Xenopus tropicalis: one gene and its partner. The protein of the gene in region 1 interacts with the protein of each later gene in a pairwise test. Links are inferred from orthologs where the notes say so. Each region holds a gene or a part of one and is shown in the gene's direction. Other genes may lie near its edges.

Region 1 (4,011 bases):
CCCAATTATATTCTACAGAGCTTATCTGACTCTGCTATGTAACCTTGAATGGCTGCCCCCATGGCTACATAGCAGCTTATTTAAACAAACTATAGTAGTTTTTCAGTTGCGCACACACACACTAGTTGTACCAGTGCAGTGCATCATTACATTACATTTTAATTACTTTTATTTTTTGGTGTTACTGTTCCTTTAAGGTGGCCACACATAGGCCGAGTTGGCTGCGTATCTATTGCCCTCTGGCCAAAAATTGGCAAGATGTTGTTAGGGCTATGATTGCATTGGCTTGTTGACACAGTCCTTGACCATTTGGCATATTGAGGAAAGATCCACTTGTTACGATTCCTTCTAAAGATAAACTGAAAACAGTAATGATTGTTAATTTCCGTGAAGTACTGATCTAAAGGTGATAAAATTTTGCTTTCCTGAATTTTTGTTGACCCAGTGTGTTTCCTTTTTGCTACAAACATTAAAGAAGAAAGAAAGGTAAAAACTAAGTAAGCTTTACTCAGATGTTCATCTGGAATGCTTGGGATCTGGAGTTTTCCAGCTAAGGGATTCTAGAAATGTTGTAAAAAACCCAAACCTTTGCCATATGTTTGAGGTTTCGCAGTTTGGAGTAGAAAGACATATTCAGCCATTGAGAAATGGTCAGAAAGTGTACTTGTCAGCAAATATAAAGTCTTCTGGGCTCTATGTACTGTTAGGGGATATTACACATAACACACATACAGCGTAATGCAATAAAATTGTACCCGATCTATTAACCGTTATTAATGAATAAAATGTTCTGTTTTGCCCAGTAAGTACCATGTGTTCATTAGCAAGAGTTTCACTCCACCTGGTGAAAACTTAACAATTACTGTTTTATAACATTATTTCCTATACGTGTTTGACCTATGCAAGTTACTTTGTGCTGCCCGATCACGCTTGTTTAATGTATCCCTTCGGTAAGCGTGTAATAACACCGTAATAATGCTATGCAGTTAGACTTGAATCAGGACATAAATCAAAGGCAGGTACAATACCTGGAGACTAGACCCAACCAACGATTTAATACAGCATTTTAATTGAACCATATTCTAAAAAAAAAACCTTTAAAGACAGCCTACAAACTTCATAAAGGCTAGGAATGAAATACCATGAAACAACCAACGCATCCCCTCCATTAACCTGTAGCAAATTAGCTTTCCAGTCCTGTACTTCACTCAGTCGCTCTCTATGACGTCAATATAGTGCGCGGCATAGAAGCTCGCTCTCGCGGTGTTTATATATGGACACCCGGTAGGATACACCCGACGTAACGGGATTGGCTTTTTTCCCCAATAACTTGTATGCAGGCTCCCGGCGTTTGGCGGGATGTCGAACGCTGTGACTCGGAGAGGTGGATCGAGTATCAGAGTTCGTCTGACAGGTAAAGACGAGTCGTACTCAAGGGTAGTACGGAATTACTGTATTGAAGCTCTGGAACGGTAAAGGATACATAGTATACTTAAATACGGGAGCACATCATGACAGGTGTGTTCTAAGACGTATGCACTGTGAATACAGCACAGTAGTGTGCTTTACAAACTCTCCTTTGCATGTAGTATACAGACATGCATATATATTGTGAGTGTTCTCCATGTAAATACCAGCTCTATCAGGTGCCTAATACATTCATTTAATACTTTTGCAGTTGTAGTTACAAGTGGTAATTTTAAGTTATCCTGACCTACTCAACAAGTCCAGTGACTTAACACTACTAGATATTTATTTTATTTATCATGGCTTGAATGAAAATCTTCCTTAACATAATGAAGGGAAAGGAAAACCATACACAACACTCCCCACATTCTTGTAGGCTATATCTGGTTATTCAGTTATCTGCCATATGTACTTTTTTGGGAGATTTATGTCTTAAAAAACTGCTCGTAATAAGTGGTTAAAATATAAGTGTTTTCTTATGTCACTGTCTTAGGGTGACTGTAGCATGTGTAGTAGGCCCCAACTTTACAGTGTACGTTCTATGTTAGGGTTAGTTTGGATGATGTGCTTGTCAGAGAAGTTCAGTCAATGGTGGGCAACATGGTGACCTTGAAGACAAAATTATAGTGGTTCAAGGAATACTGTCATGATTTCTATTGTATACATTTTATTTCTAAATTACACTGTTTACATAGCAAATAATTCATTCTATCATTTAAATTCTTTCTCTTGAATCAACAAATGTGTTTTTTAGTTGCAATATTGGTGTGTAGGCAGTCATCTCAGTGCATTGTACCTGAGTCTGAGCTTTCAGAAGGAGCCAGTGCTACACATTAGAACTGCTTTCAGGTAACCCCTTGTTTCTTCTTCTCCCATGTAACTGGAGGAGTCCAAAGCCGGACTTGGTTTTTTTACTATTCTGATATCTACTGGGGGCTGCTACGTTCCCATTGTTCTGCTGATCGCCTGCTGGGAGGTGGGTTTATCAGAACATAGGTCACATGGCTGTGGTACCCTGGGAAATGAAGAATATGTGAAATTTCATAATTAAATATAAAAAAAATCTGTGTTTTTGAAAAAGGAATTTCAATGCAGGATTCTGCTGGAGAAGCTCTGTTAACAGGTGTGTTTTGATAAAAACATGTTTTCCCATGACAGTATTCTTTAAGGCAGTGATCCCCAACCAGTGGCTCAGGGGAAACATGTTGCTCACCAACCCTTTGGATGTTGCTCTCAGTGCCCCCAAACCAACAAGATTTACTACCAAATAAAGCCTCTTGTAAGGGTATAGTGTGCATAGAGGCTACCTAATAGCCAATCTTAGCCCTTATTTGGCACCTCCATGAACTTTTATGATGCTTGTGTTGCTCTCCAAGTCTTTTTACATTTGACTGTGACACTCAAGTAAGAAGGGTTAGGGATCCCTACCTTAAGGTATAATATAAAGTGTAAGCATGGGGCACTTGGGAATGTTTCCCCTTTCAATTACTGTATATACTCGAGTATAAGCCGAGTTTTTCAGCACCCAAAATGTGCTGAAAAATTAACCCTCGGCTTATACTCGAGTCCCTCCAACTAACACCCTCTGCTACCTGATTCCCTGTGTGCTCTTTTGTGCTCCGCTGCTTCCTGGTTCCTTGCCCCACCCCCAGGAGTGACATCACACGCTCCCTGCTCTCAGCTCGGTGTCTGAGGGGGAGGGAGAGCCTTTACAAGCAGGCAGGAATGGAACTGTTTGAAGCAGGCAGGCAACGGAACATCAAGCCTGCATACTATTGAGGTGAGGAGGGAGGGAGCTCCTTGAAGTGAACCTCAAGCTGAATCCTCTCAGTTTATGATGTGCTCCTTTTGACAGGTTGAGGAGCAAGGCATTAATGAGTTATTACTTCTCCAGGTGACCCTGCTAGAGGAGGCAGTAGGGGGGAGCCTGGCATCTAGCAAACTCATTCCCTGCACGTATTTGTTCAGTAATAATGATAAATCCTAATTTTATTGGAATTTATTTTGATTATTGAAACTTAGAAGCTGTTGCGTTTCCCATCCTAGGCTTATACTCTAGTCAATAGGTTTTTCCAGTTTTCTTAATTAGGTACCTCGGCTTATATTCGGATCCGCTTATACTCAAGTATATACAGTAATCCTGATGATACTGGTTTAAAGAGTTTCACTGAACCCACATTTACCTTCTGGATTTTGCCAAATCCCAGAACGTTTTTTTAAAATCCTCTTCTTTTTTTTTTTTTTTTTTTCTTTTATTATGAAAATTTGCCTCCTACTAGTACTGTTTGATGGCAAAGGAAGCTTATAGCTAGCTAGTCTGAGAAATATTGAAGATATGGAAAAGTGAGAAACACATAGACTTTCTCAGGTAGTAGTTTATACTGGCTGCATGTGTATACACCCCGTTTGATGCTCTCTGAAGAAAAATTTTACCCATCGGTGGAATGAAATATTAACTGGTTGGGAAATAATATTGTGCCTTATAGCGCTGCCCAAATCTCTCTCTGCTGTAATGGAACAGCAGAGGTGCACATTCCTACTATG
Region 2 (3,398 bases), on another chromosome or scaffold:
TCTATTCATTCACCTGTTCATATTCCAGTCTGTCTTTCAAACCACTGCCTGGTTGCAATGGTATATAAGACAGATAGCTTCTGAAATAGCAAACCAAAAAGCTAAATAACTGAAAAAGCATGAAAAAATAAATAAATAAAATTGAACCACCCCTTTAACAAACAGTGTGAGTTTGTGGGGGTCCTGAAGATGTAACGAGCACATGTAGTTCAATGTGATCCAGATTCCACTAACAGCTGAGCATTCCTTCCGAAGGAATTACAACTGAAAATGAAAGCGAGGTGAAGAAACTGTCATCTGAGACGGATTTGGAGAGGGCGGTGAGGAAGGCTGCCCTGGTCATGTACTGGAAACTGAATCCAAAAAAGAAGAAACAGGTGTCTGTATCCGAGCTGCTGGAAAATGTGGGCCAGGTCAACGCTGAAGGTGAGTGCTTGGCATCCACTGGGATACTGGCTGCTCTAGGGAGGGGGCTGAGCAGCGGTACCATGGAATTTTTATTGTCACTGTATAGGTCGCTGGTCCTATCGGATATCCTAACAGATGCTTCTTTTATATATGAGGAAATTATAGTAAGAGCTCCTTATCAGCCCCATCTAGTGCAATCAAGTTTATCTCTCTCTTTTATCTTTCCCTATACTGTTTTCTCTTATCTTCCCTAAAATAGATTTATTTAGTTGGTTCATGCAAGTAACCACCTATTCTTGCAGCTCACCTGAATACTATACCAGTGTCTCTATACTGTAATATAATATGAACCCCCAGGTTCAAACTGAAATTTTGTTTTCTAGATGGAAATAATGAGCCAGGACCCATTCCCAAGGCAGCACAGAAGCAGCGGAGGATCCTGGAACGTTTAGTCAGTAGTGAATGTGAGTAGATGATTGGTCCTTTTCAACTGTTCATGTTCATAGTGTGGGGGCTGCTGCATTATATAGAACAGTGATCCCCAACCAGTGGCTCAGGGGCAACATGTTGCTCACCAACCCCTTGGATGTTGCTCCCAGTGCCCCCAAACCAGGTATGGGATCCCTTATCGGGAAACCCGTTATCCAGAAAGTTCTGAATTACAGAAAGGCAATCTCCCATAGACTCCATTATAAGCAAATAATTCTAATTTTTAAAAATGATTTCCTTTTTCTCTGTAATAATAACAGTACATTTAATCCTTATTGGAGGCAAACAATCCTATTTGGTTTAATATTTAAATAATTTTTAGCAGACTTAAGTTATGGAGATTCAAATTACGGAAAGATCTCTTTTCTGGAAACCCCAGGTCCCGAGCATTCTGGATAACAGGTCCCACACCTGTAGATATTTTTGAATTCCTGACTTGGGGGCAAGTTTTGGTTGAATAAAACAAGATTTACTACCAAATAAAGCCCCTGTAAGCTGATAGTGTGCATAGAGGCCCCTAATAGCCAATCTTAGCCCTTATTTGGCTCCTCCATGAACTTTTATGGTGCTTGTGTTGCTCTCCAAGTCTTTTTACATTTGACTGCGGCTCATGAGTAAGAAAGGTTGGGGACCCCTGATATAGAAGATATGGAATCTGACATACTTGCCATTAAAACAGGGTTACACCAGTTCTTTTTTTTATTCCTATTTACTCTAGAGATATCCAGCCATTTACCAGCATGTCTATCACCTGTGTCCCATGCCTTCAGCTGTATTGTGTTACTCATTGTGGCTTATTTATAAAAACTAGGCAAATTTGCCCATGAGCAGTAACCTATAGCAACCAGTCAGTGATTGGCTTTTTCAGCCACCTGCAGGTTGAACAATGCAAATACACACTTCATTGGTTGCCATGGGTTACTGCCCAGGTGCAAATTTGCCCAGTGTTTATAAATGAGCCCAAGAGACTTTTATTGTTCTAATTAAACAATTTATTTTATTATATTTTTTGCTTTGTGCAGGGTGCCCCTCTTTCATTTCTGTTCCCCTGAGTACCATCACCATATAAGCAAGTTGTTTTTGTTATATTTCAGCAAAGAGCTTTATTGCTTTGGATGATTTCGTTGAAATTACCAAGAAGTACGCAAAGGGGATAGTCCCAAGCAATTTGATTATACACGATGATGAAGATGACGAGTTTGCTGGGAAGGGCCCAGAAGAGCTGCCTTTGCAACAAAAGGTTGCTGACTATACTCTTTCATGTCTTGTTTGTTACTGCCATTAAAGGGTAACAGTAGCACTAAATTAAAAGCACAGCTCTATGATCACTAGATGGCACTGTTTGTCCAGTTAAGGACAGTACTAATGTTTGCCTGTAGCTCTTCCCAGTCTTTTGTTCCCATGGGGTATTGGGTTAAGCTGCATATGAGGTTGCCAAACAAACTGATCTTTGCCAGATTTTGCCACCAAAGCATTGAGGCCAAATCGGGCTGATATGATCAGCTGCCCCAGTTAAAAGATCAGATCATACTGCAGCTCTATGGAGACCCATCAGGAGGGGACTGTATCTAAAGTCCCATGCAGTCTGGCAAGATTTTATAACCTACCTGATAGATAGCTCGCCAGTTTTTCAGCCAGATATCTGGTCCCATACACAGACCAATGAGCTTCCGACTTGGTCTGGAGGTACAGAGTCAGGCCCGGACTGGCAATTTGTCGATTCTGGTAAATGCCAGAGGGGCTGCTGTAAGATGCTATAGGCAGTCACTATTTATTGGGCCTGTGGGGGGCTCTGCATAACTGAAAATTTGTTTGAACCTGGAGAGTCTCCAGCCTCTCTCAGCCTGTTTATGGCCAGTTAACCGCCTTTACTGTTATATACTTTGTTTTTCTGGTTCTCAGTCCTGACAGGATAGAGGCATTGCTATCTGTGTACAACCAATGGATGGTGCTCAGCTCCAACATAGAAATATACAAGGCGTTTGTCTTTTCACTGGACAAAAAGCTGCATATTTTTAATAGATGTATATTGCAAAGTGGCTTGAAAGTATGTTTACTTTTCAAAAAGCTTAAAGGAACAGTAACACCAAAAAATGAAAGTGTATAAAAGTAATTACAATATAAAGTACTGTTGCCCTGCACTGGTACACCTGGTGTATATGCTTTAAAAACATTACTAGTAAACAAAGCTGCTGTGTAGCCATGGGGGGCAGCCATTCAAAGGAAAAAAGGCACAGGTTACAGATAGCAGATAAAACACCATTGTATTCTACAGAACCTATCTGCTATGTAACCTGTGACTTTTCTCCTTTTCTAACTTGAATGGCTGCCCCCCTGGCTACACAGCAGCTTATTTATATAAATTATAGATGTGTTTCTGAAGCAAACACACATGTTTCTGTTCCTTAAAGCTGTGTTTGGGTGGAGTTTTAGAAGTCACAATTGATTTAAAACCCACACATGGACCCTCCAGCAACAACAAGCACTAGTTTCTGAGCCAA

The links. The genes of interacting proteins can lie anywhere in the genome.
Region 2: the proteins of smurf1 (region 1) and wfs1 interact in binary tests that used the Homo sapiens proteins (3 or more experiments, as listed by UniProt). The link is inferred for Xenopus tropicalis from reciprocal best matches to the Homo sapiens genes SMURF1 and WFS1.

Annotation. Positions count from the first base shown.
Region 1 is NC_030685.2:47,094,395-47,098,405, reverse strand, and holds the start of smurf1 (E3 ubiquitin-protein ligase SMURF1), read left to right. Parts: upstream 1-1,211; 5' UTR 1,212-1,359; coding exon 1,360-1,414; intron 1,415-1,496; exon of another isoform or gene 1,497-1,511; coding exon of another isoform or gene 1,512-1,518; intron 1,519-4,011. UniProt on the Homo sapiens protein: E3 ubiquitin-protein ligase that acts as a negative regulator of BMP signaling pathway. Mediates ubiquitination and degradation of SMAD1 and SMAD5, 2 receptor-regulated SMADs specific for the BMP pathway.
Region 2 is NC_030677.2:25,488,071-25,491,468, reverse strand, and holds part of wfs1 (wolframin), read left to right. Parts: intron 1-255; coding exon 256-426; intron 427-791; coding exon 792-872; intron 873-1,991; coding exon 1,992-2,137; intron 2,138-3,398. UniProt on the Homo sapiens protein: Participates in the regulation of cellular Ca(2+) homeostasis, at least partly, by modulating the filling state of the endoplasmic reticulum Ca(2+) store.